Linked DNA regions of Nothobranchius furzeri. Each later gene encodes a partner of the first gene's protein in a complex. Links are inferred from orthologs where the notes say so. Each region holds a gene or a part of one and is shown in the gene's direction. Other genes may lie near its edges.

Region 1 (9,932 bases):
CGATCACAGAGACATCAGCACCAGGTTTCTTCAGGGTTGGCTGTACAACTGCTGCTTTCAAAGCAGCTGGGACCACACCTGTGCTGAGGCTCCCATTGATAATCTGACCAAGTGAAGGGCCAAGACACGGAAAGGCAGCCTTCCAGAGATGAGGCGGCAGAACATCAAGTGGAGAGCCAGATGGCTTCTGCCTGAAAGTAGGACAGGAAGATCGGGGAAAGGGGAATGCTGGGTGTTGCAGTTCCCGGTGGAGGTATCATGGGTCTGGGGCATTGACAAATAAAAATATGGACATAGGCTGCCCATTGCTTCGCCAAGGCGCAGGTTGAAGCCAAAAATGGGAGGTTCCCACCACTGATTTTTTTTGACCGAGTCACACCCAGACAATACAAAAATGGGAAAAGAGGTGGAGCTGAGGGTGGGGCTGTTACATTTGGAAAAGGATTGGAACAAATGAAACCAATGTAGTTGCTAGAAGAAGAAGAAGAAGAAAATATCATTTCTATAGCGCCTCTCAAGATAAAACTCACGAGGCACTTCACAAAAACAAAACAAAAAATGTAAAAATATAAAAAAGCATTTAGAAAATGTTAAAAAATATATTTAAAATGAGCAAAAATAGGCAATTGGGATTTAAAAGAAAAAAAATGTTAAGAAAGAGAGAGCGTGAATAGGAAAGAGGGAAATCAGTGGATCCTGAGGAAGGTGGAATAGGTGGGGAGAGCAGAATAAAGAGAGAGGGGTTGAAGAAGGTCATACAAAAGCCAGCTTGAACAAGTGAGTCTTCAACTACTTTTTAAAGGAGACCACTGAGTCCACTGATCTCAACCTGCTAGCAATGTTAGTTAACCCGAGAAGCTAAGAAGGGCTTCGGGGACCCTGGAGAAGCCCACTCGCACGGCCGACAGGTTCCTGTACAAGGCTGTAGTCTTGCTGGTCGCCTGTGGATATCTAATATGGACTGGGACTGTTGAATTACAAGCAGAGCCAGACCGCTGCGACCGGAAGCCTTGGCCTTTTGTATCAGCTCATTCTCCACAGTTGGAAATGAGTGGGAAATTAGCTACATGCTACCCTGAAGCTAACTGAGTTTTACTGAGCCTTTTTAGCAAGAAAAACGCAGTAGAGCGACTCCAACATGAAGGCACCTCCAGCTTGCTGAGTAACAAAATTACAGTTGGGTAAGCTGACCGAGGACATTGGGTTTTGCTGGTCCACCGCAGTCAAAGATTCGTGAGTCCACCGTTCTTAACGCACGGTTCTCTGGGAGCATTGACTCTGCTTATGGCTCCGTGTCGTGCTCCCCACCAGAGACGAGAGCGTCGAAAATGGCAGACTCGCGTGTCTTTCACAAAGGTTGACCAGCGAAGCCCGATAGCCTTTGCTATCCTCGGTCAGATACCCAGCAACCACACCAACACATTATATTTCATTCGATTTCAACCCATCTTAGACCAAGCATTGTTAAGGTAGAATTTTCACCATTCAACCAGCAAACAATTAGCGAGAAAAATGTGGTTGAGTGACTCAAAAGTGAAGCAGCATCAACTAAAAGAGCTGCAGTGTTTCTGTGATCTCCCTCAGAAATCCACAAGTGACCAGCCTGACTACAGCCTCGCATTGGAGCCAGTCCGTTCATTGGCTGCCCCTGGAAATGGGAGCAGCCAGCCGCCTGTTCTAGCAACTCTTCTCGGGCGGGAGACAGAAGACTGGCATCCGCTCAAGTTTCTTATCCAGCCAGCAGCCAGACTAACATGTTTGACCAAGCAGTTAAATGACACAGCATTTCCCCCATTCAACCAACGAACCAGAAATATAATTTTACTTACTGATAAAGAAGAAGCAGAAACTGCTTGGATGATATGTTAGTGCAGTCAATAACCACAGCTTGCCCTCTTTGGTTTTTAATCATAGAATAATATGGACAAACACAAACAGACAAAAATGAAGTTCAGAGAGTCAAAATGGCTGAACATCTATTAATGTCAGGCTGAGGCCTTTCCCCGGAGCTAGCTCTGAATACACATGGCTCTGATGCTCATTAATTATTCAGAATTTTAAGCATTTAAATACACTTAAACAGAAAAGTTAAAGAAAATTCACCCCCATCACAGTTGTCACGAATATAAACTAGATCTATTAAACCTAAAATGTTGAACCAGGCTGTAAACATGTTTATTTCAGCTGTAAAACGGACATTTTTAACATGGGAGTCAATGATGATTTGCCCCTAGCGGATGAGGGTGGAACTGCAATCTTAGCCACTCCTTCAGCCTGGCCTGCCAAATCTTCCTCTGTTTAATTCTGCACAGAGAAAGGGTCTGGGAGCTCTCCTATTCAAATAACCCCACCCTGTGAGAATTCTAACCGAGCCAATCAGCACTTAGTAGCGTACATCACACGGCATAACGCCGAGTTTCTCATAAATATGGCGACGGAAGCGGAGTTTGCTGTGGCTCTTTCCTCTGTTCTAAATGACTTGAATGTCTTTAAAATAACAACAAGTAGAAGCGCTAAAAGCCTTTCTTCTGAAAAAAAAAAGATGTTTGCACCGTTGCCAGATGCCTTTTTCATTACAGTTACCCCCAAATTCCACTACCTCCGTTCCGCTCCGCTCCGCTCCGCTCCGGTCCGCCCCCGCCTTCCACAGCCGCTCGCTTCCGAACTCAATTTTTACTGGTACCCGCTCTACAACGGCTCCGCTCCGGTGCGGAGACCTGAGGTGGGCAAACAAGCATGCGCGGGATTTTCGAGATCTTGCGATACAGTCCGAGCAATAAACGCGGAAGTTAGATCCAAACACCCGTTGTGTGGGAGAAGCATCGGCATGAACTGTTTAATCTGCCCATCATTTGTGTTGAGAGATCGGCAGTGTTTGGATCAACTGAGTGTGACTACTTTGATAGTAGAAAGTGTATTTATGGCTTATTTTTGTGCATTTAAAGTTCAGCCGCCATTGATAGTTGTTAAAAGTTGTTAAACCTGTGCATATGAAACAAAAAAACGCCTTTTGTTTATCGATTTATTGTGAAAAACGGAAGTTGTGCTTGCTCCTTTTCCTGTTGGGCGGTTGTGATTTCTGTCCATTTACTGCGGAGGTGCTCCGGCGTCCGGCAAAAATAGGATTGATTCTATTTTTGCCGGACGCCGGAACAGAGGGCGGGGCACTGCGCCGCGCTGCCGGAGCACGGCCGCAGTAGTGGAATTGCTCTGATTGACAACAACGGGACCGATTTTGCTCCGGCGTTCGTGTCGGAGCGGAGGTAGTGGAATTTGGGGGTTAAACAACTACAGCATTGCGCGGCACAGTCGGCATTTCAGTTTTTTTCTGATTGGTTACTTTTGAGCTGCCTAGTCCCGCCCCTCATGCGCCTCTCTGCCTGTGTTACCAGACTCTCTCTGTGCAGAGTTAAACAGAGGATGAGTCTGGCAGGCCAGGCTGCTCCTTGGCTTCAAAACATGTAGATCATAATGGCCTCTTGGTGTGGGGAGGCTGAGCAGGCGAACTTGTGACCAACTGTCTTATACATATTTGTTGTTCCTCTGATTATTGCTTCTCTATATGAATCATTTTGCTTATCTCTTTTTTTTTTTTTGCACCAAGTACTGCTGCAATTTCCAAATGTTGTTATTTCTCACATGTATGGCAATAAACCCCCTTCTGATTCTGACTCTGACGTTCCAAATAGGTGCTAGTGGAAGGATTATGAAAATGTCAAAAAGACCATAAACACTAGTAAAATTCACCTTTTAATGTATTTTAGACATTTTTAGGTCACATTTAGCATTTGATGTGCACCTTTCATAGCAATGTATTTTTGACAAAGTTATAAAGATATCAAAAAAGATAACTTAAACACATACACTCATTTTTTTAAGCTGTGGTAGAATTTTTCATCAAGCTGAGCCTGAAACATGTTTTTCTTTGAGCTTCAGAAGATCAGAGGCAACACCAGAAGCCCATTGATGGAAGAAAAAGACACCTTAAGGAAACTTTAGGATTTTGTTGAACACAACTTAATAATTATCAAAAATTTTCAAACAAAATGTTCGATGTGAAAAATTAATAGTTTCATTGCAGCTGTTGTTGGAGGTTGTGTCCGAGCTCCAGTGCGTTTTGGCACAGCTGGAAATTCATCAATGAATTGAGATGTTTCATTTGGGCCAAAGCTGAATCAGGGAACTTGGCAGCGGCTGACTAGCATCATGCTTTATGACTCGTTGGAGTGGCATGCGGCAGAAATGGCTCAGTGTCTACACCCTTTGCCTGACAGTAAAGGAAGAGTTTCTTCACTCTAAATTGTTGCCTGATGCTCAGATGATGATGTGGGAGTCTCCAGGGGCGCCATGCTTACGGCTCTCTCATGTCTTCTTGTTTCAACGCTTTTCATCCCCAGACAGACACGCTTTGCTTTCCTTCCTTGAATTCATGCATCTTAATTAGTCCATTTCAGTCTAAACACAAACTGTCTTACCAACGGGGGATGACTCGCTCTTATTCAGGTGTTTTCTTGACACTGAGACAAGTACGATGCTGAGTACAGTTGTGGGAATTTAGTGATTTAGCACAAATTTAGAAGAACAAATCCATGACTCATTCAGATTATTTGACCCTTTTGCCATCTAAAGCAACTATAAACCATTATTCCAGGGCTTAAGAAGTATATATGTTCTAGTTTCACTCATTTAAATGTATTTTTAAAAAGTCACCACACTGATTTTGTTGTGAAACTGAATATAGAAGCTAGCAACTTTGTCTTATTTTTGCTTTTTCTTTTTTATTTTATAAGGCTACTGGATATTACCTGTCATCACTGCTAAAGTTAAGATAAAAAACAGACTTTTTACACTGGAGCTGTGTTCTGTAGTGACTCTCTTGATTTATAACAGGAGTAATGAGGCATGCTGCTCTGGATGTAATTGCTCACATGTTTCTTCATCTGTTTATTCATAGTTTTCTGTCAGTGTGACAGTTGGGCTCTTGAGAGAGACTGATGGATGGCCTTTACAGGAAAAGATGTTGTTTTTAGCAGAATTTTGTTTTGATACGCCCGTCTTAATACTTCTGAGCAGATTTGTAAAAAATGTGGTTAAATTTGTGGTCAAATCAGCCATTTTATACGGCAGTCATGGGTGAAATGGGTTGGCATTATCCGTAAACAATGGCATTCTTTAAAAACAATACCATAGTCAGAATTTGGTCGTCCTCCAGCAGTTGTCTGATTTTATTTCTGGCTCCAGACCTCTGGAGATGCCACGATAACACAAGCCAAGCAAATCACGCGGCTTCATCTGGACAACCTTCAAGACTTAAAGTTCTGCTCTAGAGACCCTGGCCAAACATGTGTACACAAATACACACACATATGAACACACACACACACACATACAGAAAAATAGAAACATAAATATCAACAGGGTATCCGCGGGTCTTTAATAAGTCTTAAAAAGTCTTAAATTAGCTTTTCCAAATTTAAGGCCTTGAAAATCCTTAAAAATGACAAATAATCCTTAAATACAGTTTCCAAAGGTCTTAAATTACCAACGACCCAATATTTCTATGAAATTTTCGTGAATTTCGAGTGTTCAGCATTTTTTGTGTATGATGTTGGCGTAAGCGGAACCGTACACATTCAGTTGGTTGTGAAAGGGGGCTATTTTTAAATGAGCACATTAGCTGGTTAAGCTAGTGGGAGCTTGCGCCATGGGGAAGTGCAAATTTAATGGTAACTGGATGGCTAATCCCACGTTCGCGACGTGGTTAGCACCGGTTCCAGCCAATAGCTGGAAAATATAGCTTAAATTTAATTTAAAAAATTGCTTAAATTTGGTCAAAGTGGCCTTAAAAAGATCTTAAAAAGTCTTAAATTTGGCTCCCTTAAACCTGCAGATACCCTGAAAACTATTTTTTTAAAGCCTAGTCTTGCAAAAGGGTGGATGATTACTTGCACACAATCCTCTACTGTGCGTTTATAACCTCTGCCCTTTGAATTAGCCGACTTTTACAACACCAAGTATAAAAATGGTTATTCAGAAACTAATTAATTAATTTAAACGTCTTCTTTTCCTGTCTGTCTCAGAAATCATCGATGACCTCGCACAGCTCGTCGACACGACGGACAGCAGGATTCGAAATGAAACACGAAGGGTGAAGCTGGTGGAGACCAAGTCAGCGTCCTGTGGTGAGCCTACTTTGTTTCAGAGTTACCCAACAGGAGGCGGCCTGCAGCTTGAACTGCTGTTCTTTAAGCTAGAGTGGTGTACTACGAAGGTTCACTCAAATGGGAGGGAGAGCTTAGCACAGCACGTATACACCCACCCCCGCCCCCAGACCTCTGCGCCCCACTCATGCGACACATTAGGGTTTGTGGTTGAGTACCTCTAGGAAATGGTTGAAAGCATAAAGCAAATGTATAGATAACAACAAGCTACCAACTTTGATTTTCTTTGAAGGTTTAGGAACAATTAATCATCTGTTAAGAGTAGAGATCCTTCGATCTGATTATGTGATTTTCAAATGATTGGAATCGGGTGGAAAAGATCGGATATAACCTTCTAAAACAACAAGCATGGTCTTTTAAAATCATCCTGAGTTATTGAAATGTAAAGACAATGGCTTAGTTTTCATTTTAACAAGTTTCATGGCATCAGTATTCATCGTTGCATAGATGACAACACCACAAGGTCACATAATTAGCAGCGTGCAGGTAAGTAACACACCATAACATTAAGCTGTTAGCAGACACGCTTAAGCTGTTTTTACAGGACCGTAGCGTTTGCAAAACGGGATTTGCCGCGCACCCTGGGGTTTATTTTGGCATTTATCGTAGTAAAGCTGAAGCTAGAATAAACGGCCATCTGGCACCTCTCAAACCAAGACGGGATAGAGGGAGGTCGCTGGGCGGCCCCCCCGCATGTGACGTACAGGGTCGCGCATTCAGCGTCAGACGGAAGACACGTCAGATTGATGGAATTTCTTTTTCAGGACCTTTAGCTTTGATGTGACCTGTTTTTTGTCCCGCTTGTTGCCCCGCTCAGCCGGTGTTTTCACCTCTCTGTCGAACACCTGGCTGTCTCTCACCGTCCCCGTAAAAAGGCGACTAATCTTTTCGTCTGCTCGCACGGCCAAAAGCTCCGTGGTCTCCGCGTCTGTCCAGTTTGCCATGTTGTAGGTGGTTGAAAGATACTAGTGAGAGGCCATGTTTATCTGTGTTTATATCCCTCCCGGCCGGCACTCTGCGCGCAGTATACATCACTAACGCGACCATCCTCTTTTGCGGGGTGGGCCATCCACAGTCGCTCCAAATGGATTAGCGGGGCTGACACGCGTTTAGCTGTCAGAGGTGAGGGGCTCGTGCGGCAATATTTCTACCAAGCGAGGCGGAACGAATGCCGCAAAATTCGCGCAACGCCATGCTGGCATGGCGCGTTTATAGACATACCATTGCAGTAATATTATGCCGATTTACCGGCATGGCGTGTCTTATAAAAGCACCTTTAATGTCAAGAGAGTGGAAATGTCTAAAGTTTTAACGTATTAAACCAGACAGCAAAGGCAGTGCAACAGCCACTTATGATTTGCGCCAACCAATGACTAAACATACTGGACAAACCCTCCGTCATGTGACCTATAGATTTCTGAAGAGCTGAATTAAAGCCCAATAAGCGGCTTTGGCCACCAACATCTTGACCGTGTCACACATCTTGTCACGTTATGCAGTTGTTTTAGCCATTTTCAAAAGACATTGTGCTGGCAAATCAGCATAATACTGCTGCCACAGTGTGTCTTATGAAATCAGTGTGGCAACATGGCGATGTGACAGTTTTGCGGCTTTCACGTTGCCATGTTCGGTAGTAGTATTAACACAACGCCTTACTCGTGAACGAAGATTATGCCTTGGCACAACAGAAGGTGATGTCATGATCACAAGTATTGTATATATTGAAAATGAAAGTAAAAATAGACAATCACCCCAGTTTCACAATGAAGCATCAGCGGTACGGAGCGTCGCTGCTTCAAATAGAATCCATTATAGTCTATGGAGTGTTTCAAAAACAACCGCGCCATAGCAATTTTCAGACGAGTCTAAGAAGCGGTGCACCGCACCCGCTGAACAAATGATCAGCCTCTATTTTTGCAGCAAGCCGCTTCTCGGACATGTCAGTTTAGGGTTAGACAGGAAATCACACACGGTTTCAGTGTAAAATGCCCAGTAATTTTTTAAATAAAAGTACTGCAGTGTGACCCAACGGCCTATTTAGTCACAGCATCATTCCAGAAGTGTAGTGGTGTGTTTTTCATGGCTTTAATCCTGGCGGTGGAAAGAAACAACATCATATATGACGTCAAGCAGCGATATCAAACGTGATTTCCTTCTTTTTGGTTTAATGGCGGATTGCATAAACAAGCCGTGAACTTGGAAGTCTTGAGGGATTGTGTGATCTCGCGAGTCCAGGAAAGAGCACAGTGAGGAAGCCGGGCTGCGGCCAAAACTCTCCCAGTGTGAAAAGGACAGCTTTGAAATCCGTGAGTAAACCCCTCCGCTGCCGTTTGAAGTGTGAAGCCAGGGTAAGTTTTGCTTTTCTAAACAGAATCAGCGGAGATGGTAAATTGGAGCGATGCAGAGCTCTGGGAGCTTCTCTTCATTGGGGCTGAAGCTCAGATCACCAGACAGTTCACGGGGACTGTGGAGGACAGAGACCTTTAGGAACGGCTGGTCAGAAAGACATTGTGGCTTCATTCACAAGTTATGTCCAAGCTAAAAGGAAGTCTGTGACAGCACAGAGACCTCCCCCACACCCCTTTATCCTGTCATCGCTGAATCTTTGGTGAAAAGCACACGATCGTGCCACATTACCGCCACAGTCTGACCACTTATGAACGACCAAAGGCTCCCTGATGTCAACTCAGCTTTGTGTCAAATTGGCGGCATTGTTTTCCGAAAGAGGCCACTGTCAGAAATATGCTGAAGTTTCTGCTGAAAATGTTAGCCTCTCAACTCAAAGTGCTAAAACTATCTGCTGTGTTCGCTCACAGTCAAATCATTTTTGGCCACGACCCATAGATGGCTCTCAGTCATGGGTGGAATGTGGTCGTCTCCATATGCAATAGGACAATGAACAACATGACGTACTCATTGCTACAGATGCCAGTCAATGGGGCAGTTCGCCGTACACTGTTGAGGAGGACATGAATATATAATGTTTCGAAATAAATGACTTAAGTACCTTTGTCTACTCTTGACTCAAAGAAAAAAACAGGCCTAAATAGTCCAAAGTTGAGACCAAAGTCGTTTCAAATGAGCCATCACCATCTTAGTTTTGCTCAGTGGCAGTAACATCCCGCCCACCAACCCAATAGAGCGCTGTGATTGGCAAGACACAACACTGGTCTGGGCTGCTGAGGTTCCAGTGGAGCGTGGCTAGACCTGCATGCAGAGCAAAATCATCTGTCGAGGATTCTCTGCTAGAGTAAAATAGCCTTCACATAAACATTCTGGTAATGGAGCTGTGTCAATGGACCGTGCTCGGTTCATGACGGTCGCTGTCGCCATGGTGATGGCTTCATTGTTGTGCACGAGCTAGCAGATGGTCACTGACTGAAAACAGAGAATGCAATAGGAGGGTCAGGCTCCAGAATACTTGGTGTTGTTGGTTGTGTGCTCATGGCACCAGAGCACAAGTTTGTTTGACGATCCCAGAGCTCGTATTGTGTCAGAATCAGAACTCTTTTGATCTGTTCTGCCTCGTCTCCATTAGTCCTTCTTCTGTGTTTCAGGTTTATTTATGGACCTTGTGTGTGTCAGTGTGTGTTTGTACACAGCACAATACCTGCCAGTATGTGGGCCACAAGCATGTGTTAAAGATAATCGAGTGTGTAAATTATTTTACAGAAATGTAGTTGCACATGCCTGGGTTTGTTCAAATGGGTG
Region 2 (10,424 bases), on another chromosome or scaffold:
GATACTGTGGCTTTGACCTGGAACAATGATGAGTCTAAGAGTAGGAGGGGAAGGAGTGTGCTGATTGGTGCACGGCAAACAGTTTCAGCATCAATTTGACAAAGACAAAACATAATAAATCTGTATCCAGCTGAGGGAAAGTTGTAGACACTAAAAAACTCAGAACACAGTAACAGTGACTGTTGCTGAAACAACCTCCACATTTGCAAAATCAAGCATTCATTTGGCGCCATCTTGTGGCTGAACTAAAACAAAGGCAGGAGGGAATCTACAGATGTTTTTCTGAGTCCAAAAAAATTTTTTTTTATTGTGTACCCTAACCCTTTAAAAAAGCAATCAGCAGAAACAAAAGGGTGTGAACCAAATAGATATTGAATAAATGTCCAGAAGGACATGAGCATAACTAAACTTTGTATTTAGTGTTGTAACGTGGTCTAATGTGTTTACTTATACACAACTGATAACTTAAACAAAAGTGCATCAGTTGCACTTAGATGAGTAGAAATAATCAATAAATATATACATGAGACAAAAAATGTGACACAAATTCATCAAGACCTTCAGATGTTTAAAATCCAAGCATACAGAAAGAATATTGTCCCTTTTTGCAATATAAATTATTTAAATGTAAAAACAAACAAGATTTATTCATTACTTTTATTATTTAAACAACATTAAATAAAACATGCCAATAAATTCATTTTTCATGTCTTTGTTTCCCAATATTTTACTGATTTTCCCTAGAAACTGTTTCAAGGACCCTTTAATGAAACTCTCAAATCCTAGAATTGACTTTAACCCCTTAAATATTAGGAGAAAACTCAAAAATATGTATATAAACAGAAGTGTTCTATAGGTCTGTAAAATTATAAATAATCAGAAATGTTCTCCTTTATGCTCCCTGTGAAGGCAGAGTCATCTTGTTCGGTGCAGTGTTGCTGTAGCTTTTGTAGAGTGGGAAAAATCTCACCACAGGTCAGTCCTCTGTCACTGGAGTCTGCTAGTGTGGAGGTGTAAAAATGAGATAGATGATGCTAACATGATAGGCAGTGTTAGGTTATTAGTTATCTGAAGTATTAACACCAGAGGACGTGCGAACGTCACTGCTGCTGCTGCGTTGATATTCACTAGTCTGGAGCGGGCCAAAACACGTCAATAACTTTAAAGTTTTAGCATATTTTATGCCCAAAGGCTTTTGTATATTTGGAATGCTCCCTTGATGAAATATCTACTTTGAAAATATTGCAAGTTACCCTGTTGTCTTGTTTTCTTGCAGGGCCGGATTTAGCCAGCCCTCCAAAGGGGTGCAGGTAGAATATCGGCAGGGGGGTGGGGTGGGGGGTGGGGGTGTCAGGTCTGGGAAATAATTTTTCGGGTGTCACGTACCTCCAGATCCCTAAAATGCATAAAAAACTGTGCTATCATCATTACAGTTCGTCTGTCCATATATCTATCTTTTCCTTTGATCCATTCCTTACACTACCCTCTGCATTTACCCGGGCTTGGGACCGGCACAAATGGGACACTGGCTTGTTCCCTATTGGGGCTGCATTAATCTTTTATCTATCTATCTATCTATCTATCTATCTATCTATCTATCTATCTATCTATCTATCTATCTATCTATCTATCTATCTATCTATCTATCTATCTATCTATCTATCTATCTATCTATCTATCTATCTATCTATCTATCTATCCATCCATCCATCCATCCATCCATCCATCCATCCATCCATCCATCCATCCATCCATCCATCCATCCATCCATCCATCCATCCATCCATCCATCCATCCATCCACCCACCCACCCACCCACCCGTCTGTCTGTCTGTCTGTTTGTCTGTCTGTCTGTCTGTCTGTCTGTCTGTCTGTCTGTCTATCTATCTATCTATCTATCTATCTATCTATCTATCTATCTATCTATCTGTCTGTCTGTCTGTCTGTCTGTCTGTCTGTCTGTCTGTCTGTCTGTCTGTCTTTTTTATTTTACTTGTACATATATATATATTGGGTCCATGTGGCAGGGGTGAGGAGTGAGCACCACCTCACCCCTGCCACATGGACCTCAAGGGATAAACCATCAATCCTGCTCAATGGTCAACTTTCCTTGCAGGGTCACCCATAAAGACAGTGGGAGGATTAAAGATTAATCAGAATCAGAATCAGATGAATTTTATTGCCAGCGCTCCTTTCAGAGCATAGGAACTTGACTCCATAGTACAACCTGACCAAGGTTACACACACACATATAGACAAGACAGATACAGGCACACCATGGGAGCAGCCATAACGGCGCTCCGTTGTAGATGAGTAAGGGAATACATGAGGGAAGTTCAGGGAGGGAGAAAAAAGGCATTAGCAGGGTTACACCAGCAGGGTGTAGCACTCCAATGCAAAAAAACACCCGACATGTAAGCAACAAACGTCACAGTTCACAACATGAGACCCGGTAGGTAGGGGGGAGGGGCTGGGATCCTGGTTTCCTCAGCGGGGGCTGCCTGTGTGGCGCTCAACCAGCTGGCTCCGCAGGTGGGAGGGAGGTCATGGGGAAGCACAGAGAGCAGTGAGTCCTTTAGCTTGATGACCTCTGTGGAGACCACAATCTGAAGGTGGGGGGGTGGGTGGATAGAGATTCACAGCATTTGTCTGCATTCCTTCCAGCGTGGAGGTTTTGCACGCAACTCCAAGGCTGCTTATGGCGTCAGATTCGATAACAGAACTTTGTTTGGGTCAGACAGAGATAATTTTTCCTCTCTGCCTTAAGTCTGTATTGATCATTCAAGTCCTCCAGTGAAGCCAATTCAGTGATTTAACATCTCCACACCATCCGGTGACCCTTTCCGAGATGTTATCAATCCTGCACGCTAACACCGGTAACGCAGCTAAGACATTGTCCAGCTTGCGATTCACCTCGAGCAACGTCCCAGTCTGTGAGGTATCCACACGGACGGTGCCGTCCATGGTTGCGGGTCGCCCTCCAATCGCTCCCGTCATCCCAATTTTACGGAAAGCCAGATATCCTCCCACTCTAATCAGAAGAAATCCAATGATCATCAGGCCAAATATCCACATATCTTCGACGCCCTCAATGGACAGCTGAGAGAGACAGATGATATTCCACTTTTTCCAGGAATCAAACATATATCCCGCTGCATGTGTCCCCTGAGGACAAGCGTGAGCCCCCTCCTCCGTCCTCATTGTAGAAGAAATCTTATCAATTGCGTTGAATGACCAATTAATTAAGTCCATGTTGAAAAATGCTGAAAAAGGTGATTGCAGAGGAAATGCAGAGAAGCGCTCTGTAGGCAGACGGGACAAAAAGAGCCTTGGGAAAACACAGATAAGGGAGGAAAAGGCAGAAGGGTCTGCTCCCTGTGAGCGCCGGAAGAGATATTTAAAAGATATTTATTTTATTTTATTTTATTTTATTTTATTTTATTTTATTTATCCACCCATTTTGGAACTGGCTCTATTGTTGCCAGCTGCTAGCTACTCAGCGTAGTCGTAACAAATCTCTCTTTCTCCCAGCTGAGGTTGTTCAAAGAGGTATATAGGACAGATAATATTGAAACTGTTGAGAAAAATCCACTTCTAAATATCTAAACTCCCTCTTTAAAACTCTTTGGGCAAACAGCCCTTAGATGAATAACAAAAAGCAGCTTATAAATAAATGAGGTGTTGTCCATGAGTAAGACACTCATTCATTTGCTCAGGTGGAACAGCTCCCCATCACATCCACATCGTGTTTACTATGAATGATAACAGCCTCGCCACACCTCCTTCCCAAGAAGCCATTTTGTTGACACAGTCTTGCAGTCAACATTAAAACTCCTTTTTAGGAGCTTCAAACGAAATCGTGACCATCAAATGTCCCATCTGTGCAAGAATAGCGCGTTTTCTCCCAGTAACAGCGCATAGGGAATACAAGAGCGGTGTTCCGGGCTGGAAAACGGTGGGTTTGGAGTGCATGGCCACCCATTTTAACATGAGGCTCACCGCTGCTGACGTCACCGAGCCGTCTTTGTCCACCTAATCCAGGCGGCTGTGTATTACCCCTTCATTACCACACAGACCCAGGCTCCGGACATAGCCTGCAGGTAACGCTTCGCCATAGAATTAGGGATAGATAATAACAAATAATAAAATAATTATTGTAGCGAGGAGACAAACCAGTGCTCCTCCTCGGACATATAGACAGGGAACGCCACAATAACCAACCAAAGGCTGCCAGAGGCTAGAGAGGAGCGCAGAATCCATCCATCTGTCAGCCACTTAGGACCAGATCACCTTTCCAGTCCGGATTTCACTGCAGCTGTCTAGCTAATAACACCAGGAAAATGTAAGTAGCAACATTTTAATCTTTATTTAAAAAATAAATAAATAAGCTGATAACTGCTTTATGTGGTTTGGGGGATTTCCTGCTGTCTTCTGTTTCGCGCAGCCTTAACATTTCCCAGCTTTGATCTAAATCATCCTTAAACGCCGTATTTTATTTTATTTGCGTCGCTTGTTTTTCTCTGAGCCTGAATATAGCGGCCAACGCATCGGCCTAACCTTGGAGGAGCAGAAAGAGAAGCACCGGCTCTTATCTCGATTATAAAACACCATCTCATTTATTTATTCAGTCTGTTTATTTTCCATTTTACACAGAACGCTCTGTGTTTACCGCCTGCTTCTTTTCAGTCCGTTTTCCTAGTGCGCACGCACGCACGCGCATATATTTTTTCCAGTTTGAACTGGTTTGAAAAGAAAAAAGATATCACACGCACGGACACACACATTTATTACATGTATTGCAGGCGAATTAAAAGTCCAATAAGAAAATGAATGAACTATCAACTATGTTTGAACTTTATTATTTGTGTTTGCTTTTATTGCCACCGACCGACCAGCTGGTGACGATTAAGCGGATTTTAGAAACAGCAAGGACACAGTGCTCAACAAACCAGAACTGGAGCTTCATTTTAATTTGCTAGCCTTCTCCTGAAATAAAAAAATAACAAACAAACGGAGAAATTATCGACTAATAGTCAATAAACGTGACTGATGGTAATATTAGCTCAGGCCTAGTTTTTGTGCTATTTCCACCCTACAGCGGGGGGTGGGGATAGCCTAGCCTCCTACTGTATGTCGTCGATTGTCACGAGAGGGCGGTCGGGTCCAAATTTCAGACTGGCTATGACCTTTTGGTATAACTAGCCCCTTTAAATACATTTCTGAAGGCATTTTGTGTGTTTCATATGTTTTAACTCGATCATTTAGTAGACACTAAAGCTAAAGTGAGGGTTTCTGTGACACCTCCTTCCACCAGTCTCCCTGCACATCAATGACGTTTAACCAGCCTGATGCTAGCACACTAGTTTCTACTGTCCATGGCGTCTTCCTCTGTGAGCTACCAGCTAGCAGGAGACTCCACACCCTCATTCTGACTCAGTTTGTGCTCCATGTCAGCCACCATGTTTTAAAGGACATTAAAGTGGAACCTGTTATGTTAGTGAAGTCAAGAAACATCGACCAGGACCGGGCTGGCTGAGGGTCGGATGAGACAGAATGATGCTGACGAACTGTCCAGTGCTGAAATGTCGCTGTCCAGTGCTGAAATCCAGTAACGACAGAGATATTCTCCAAGGGTGGGAGTTATACAGTGATAACATTAATATTCGACATTTCATTATTATTATTACAGACATTTTGTTCTTATTAGGGTGAATTACCGTAATGTTTCAGTGTGTTATAATCAAAAAGCATAAATAGGGAGCCTAAGTCTCCTCCCCTTCCAGTTGGCTAATGGATCCCCAGAAGAACGACAAAATGAATACAAGTCAACGGGGCTGAAAGAGCTATTTTCTGATCCATTTAGCCTTACGCCCTGGAATATGTTGTACTTCAATTTTAATGAAAAAATAAATGATATGATTCAACCATGCCAATCACGTACTTTGAGATTTATCAGCTTGTAAATGATCATAATTAGCATGGCAACAAATCGGATGTTGGGTACATTTATGAGTGTCCCCTAGAGTCTGTTAGTAAAACCAAAGGTGAAACTTATCTCCTCGCTGCGTGTTCATCTTTTTAACACCTTAATCTAACAGCTGAAATGTCTCATCAGCCTTCATTAGGCTCTACAGGAGTGGTTCATCACTAAATGAAATAAATCAGCTTTGTTCACGATCTAAAACATGAAGGAAGCATACTGGAAGCAGACTGAAGGCCAGGCATGTCAGCTCCACTTTACTAAGTCCAACCAGTCTGCCACTCTGAAGCTGTAAATGCGGTATTTTGGTGACAGAGGGTGGTGGGGTCTCAGTGACATTTAATTAACCATGTAAAGAGTCATTTCAGTACATACTGCCTCAATAAAGGGATTTAAAATATGAACAAGTTGTATAGTATGAATTTAATACGTTTTAAATAAATATGGTTAAGTCTACATCACGCATCAAGCAGTTTAAATTAAAAAAATGCAAAAACACTTTAAGAACAAATGTCTAAACCTGAGTTAGTTTTATATTTTTAACACTTGCAGATTGACAATGTTTCTCCTCAGTGAACAAGTTAAGGGTGGGGGTCCTAGTGAACTTTTCTGTCTTTTTAAAAATTCACCTGCTTTTCTTGGCAGACAAAGGACATAAATTACAGCTTTGTCTTGAAAGAAGGTTGAATATTTTTAGCTTTCACAGCCAATCTTACATCAGAAGTAGACTGTACAGGGAGTCATGTGAAACCTCACCTTCCCAGTAGGTCACGTTATCTGCCGTTGTCAGATAAGGTTTCCTCTTTCTTGTCCTGTTTTTGTTTTGTTCTGTTTAATTTAAAGAATACAATTAAGATGGGTGTTCTGTTTTCTTTCTTTTCATCACAATCATGGAAGCCTCAAATGAGTTTATCGTCTTTTAACAAACCAAAGACTTTGTGGCAGAGATCAGAGACAGCTGCACCTGGCTGGATGGAACACAGTAGGTGGTTTTTACAGGATGTGGAAACTGATGAGAAGCCTTGTCACTGCATTAGCAGTTCTGCCTGGTGTTAGCTGAGAGGCGATGACAGCGAGAACCTCTACACGCATTGCACCTTTGTTGTGGTGCTTATTGCACAGCAGCTATACAGATGCTACTTTTTAAATATTGAACTAAATTAATAAAAGTAAATTGTGAGGCTAAACAATAAAAGTGACATTTGCTTCACGAAAGAAAACAATATATTTTCTAACCTTTAAAAAAATGATGGTAATAAGATGTAACAGATTTTTTAAAAGTGATCAGACATTTCCCTTTGTGTCTGTTGGGTTTTTGTGCTGCTTTGGATGCAAAATGTTGCACTTTTTTTTTTGGTCAAAATGTTGTAATTCACCTAAGAACCTTTTAGATAAATACAACTTAGACAAACTTGTTTTGTTCACTTTTTACAGCTCAGTCTTTTGACTATTATGTGTCCACTTGTTGACCAAAATCAGACACAAAACAAGCTTAACCCTTCCACTTTCCTATCAGGTGACCCCACCAGGATAGGGGGTGGCTAAGCAGGGTTTAACGTTTATGCCTTGCCAGGGGTGAAGTGATGCACCCCTTAAAAATATTAAAATTAAAAATCAAAATACACCAGATGTCCATCTGACCCCATTAACAATGCGGGAGGGTTATAGGGAAACTTGGCAGTTTTGGCTATCTTTTAGCACCCCCTATTGTCCAGTTAGTTAAACCAAAAGTAAAACATATCTCCTTGCTGTGCGTTCATCTTTTTAACATGATGAAATGTCTCCTCAGCCTTCATTATGTTCAGGAGCGATTCATCACTGAATCAAACAAATCAGCTGTGTTCACAATCTAAAGCATGCTAGTAGCAGACTGCAGTGCCAGGCATGTCAGCTCCACTTAACTAAGCTCACCAGGGTGCAGCCTGCCACTCTGAAGTTGCAAGTGCGATATTCTGGCTGCAGAGGATGGTAGGGTGTGAGTGACATTTCGTTAATCCTGAAAAGGGTCATTTAGCACATTCTGGCTCAAGAAAATTATTTAAATAAATGAAAAAGTTGCTAAGTATGGCTTTAAGTCAACAAAAGTGCAGATAAGACTGTTATTAGCTTTATAAAAGCATCATAATAGCAAAAAATGGTCCTTGCTTGTAATAGAATGTGTATTTATTACGAACAGAAGATACCTTTTACTGACTTTCTGCTATAATAGTTTAACTACTACTAACATTTTGAATGCATATGAAACATGGCAAACAAAGGCATTCTTACATTTTTGGCTTTATAAATGTAAAGTCTGTCACTAAATGGTAATAAGATTACAGCTGAGACTGCTTCATTTTAGAACGTTGTTGTTTTGCATAACACAAAGAAGCTGTGCCATCCAACACTTGGTGAAAAAGCACAGTAATTTACCTGAAAATGTATACAAATACAAAATAAATTAAACCAGCTATTTAATAAATAGTTTTAAAATTGCTTTATCTTTTTTGTCCTCTTGATAACTTGAGTGCATGCTAACATGGGTTGCAACTTTCGTGACACACTGAATTTTCAGTGATAAAATGGTAAAATGCAGGAACTCGGTTAACTTCAGTTTTCCAAACGGCTGATTGTTTTGTAATATGAATGCCTTTTAATGCAAGTTCCATAAAAAACGATTCCACAAAATCACCAAACTCAACCACATTACGTCCTTTGGAGGTCTTTATCTGTATATGTATTTTTTTTATTTTTTACTTCACTATCAGTTTCAGGAATCAGATATAAACTTGGTCATAGAAAAATAAAAAAACATCTATAGTTGGAATTTTTAAAGTGACTGCAGACCAGTTTATGTTAGCAGGCAGCAAAGTTCAGCTGTTAGTTTGTGAACCATGAGGGTGTAAATTATGATACCACAATCATTTCTAAGACTGTCGTCAGGGGTGAAGCATTACAAAGGGAGTGAGTTACAGAAATAAGGATGTAATAAAATATCAATAAACTTAAAAAACATGTTTCCTGTTATGATACTGGACTGATATATAAAAGCAGTGTATTGATTAATTTATTCAGAATTTACATGCAAACATTTACTGTATTTCTTTCATGCGGTGCAATTCTTATTCTGACCGCTAGATGGCAGCAGTTTTTGTGGCTTACATGCTGACGGAACATGATTTGGCAGTAAAACCAAGTTATGTTTTAACTTATATATATATATATATATATATATATATATATATGTGTGTGTGTGTGTGTGTGTGTGTGTGTGTGTGTGTGTGTGTGTGTGTGTGTGTGTGTGTGTATTTCGTATTGTCTCCAGATTCTTGCCAATAAAATGTCTGTAACACAAGTTACAAGCGTAATTTCAATGGTGTGAATTATTAAAACATGACAATCTCCACCCAAATAAGATCGAAAACTAAAATGCAATTGTGATTATTGGCTCAACCTTGTTTTAAAGCAAAGCTATCAGCCATCTAACAGGAAAATGACGTAGAGGTGAAAGGTGTGGTTTTATGAGCTGCCTCTGTAATGTTTGCTTCATGTCATACTCATGTCTGCACATCAGGGTAACACCACAATCCTCTCATTTTCCAAACCTAGGCAGTTTATTTTGGATCAGTTCTGTTTTATAAACAGATGCAGACTGACATATTTTAAAAAAATTCTAAATTTACATTTGATTTGATTGCTTTGATCACCAGGTCTGCCCCAGCTGGAGCTCCTGCACCAGAGGGAGGAAGTCAGGCCCCTCCCAACCTCACCAGCAACCGCCGTCTGCAGCAGACGCAGGCACAGGTGGACGAGGTAAGCACAAACTCTTCTTAAAATGCAGTCTAAGAATCAAGACTGAATGATCTGTATATTTAAGAAAAATCCTTCACATTATTGTCCACTTCCCATTTCAGCTAAACACCCAATCCTGCTCCCAGATGACATTGTTTTGTTCTGTTTCGATCCTCCAGGTGGTGGACATCATGCGTGTAAACGTGGATAAGGTTCTGGAGCGTGATCAGAAGCTGTCAGAACTGGACGATAGGGCTGACGCCCTGCAGGCTGGAGCCTCTCAGTTTGAGACTAGTGCTGCAAAACTGAAGAATAAATACTGGTGGAAGAATGCCAAGGTGAGGACACAATTCACAAATTCCACGTTAGACTGTATAAAGCCAACACGTTGATGTCTATTGTAAACCCAATTTTATTTCTAATATGTTTTTCTAAACTTTTGCCAACTACAGATGATGATTATCCTGGGTGTGATATGTGTGATTGTCCTCATTGTCATTATTGGTGAGAATCTTTTACTTTTTTGTTTTTACACATTCTTGAAATGCTACATTTCTAATAAAACACTCCGTTCCGGTTCTATATCACGCTCCATTTGCTCCTTTTTGTCTTCCTTCTACAGTGTACTTCAGCACCTAAGAAGAGTCACTCCTACCCCAGTCTGATCCAGGCT

Evidence for each region.
Region 2: stx8 (region 1) and vamp2 share a complex: the UniProt entries of both Homo sapiens proteins name them as parts of the SNARE core complex. The link is inferred for Nothobranchius furzeri from reciprocal best matches to the Homo sapiens genes STX8 and VAMP2.

Annotation. Positions count from the first base shown.
Region 1 is NC_091747.1:69,830,280-69,840,211, reverse strand, and holds part of stx8 (syntaxin-8), read left to right. Parts: intron 1-6,080; coding exon 6,081-6,182; intron 6,183-9,932. UniProt on the Homo sapiens protein: Vesicle trafficking protein that functions in the early secretory pathway, possibly by mediating retrograde transport from cis-Golgi membranes to the ER.
Region 2 is NC_091750.1:51,653,817-51,664,240, reverse strand, and holds the start of vamp2 (vesicle-associated membrane protein 2), read left to right. Parts: upstream 1-4,137; 5' UTR 4,138-4,340; coding exon 4,341-4,342; intron 4,343-9,669; coding exon 9,670-9,772; intron 9,773-9,930; coding exon 9,931-10,089; intron 10,090-10,203; coding exon 10,204-10,255; intron 10,256-10,373; coding exon 10,374-10,390; 3' UTR 10,391-10,424. UniProt on the Homo sapiens protein: Involved in the targeting and/or fusion of transport vesicles to their target membrane. Major SNARE protein of synaptic vesicles which mediates fusion of synaptic vesicles to release neurotransmitters.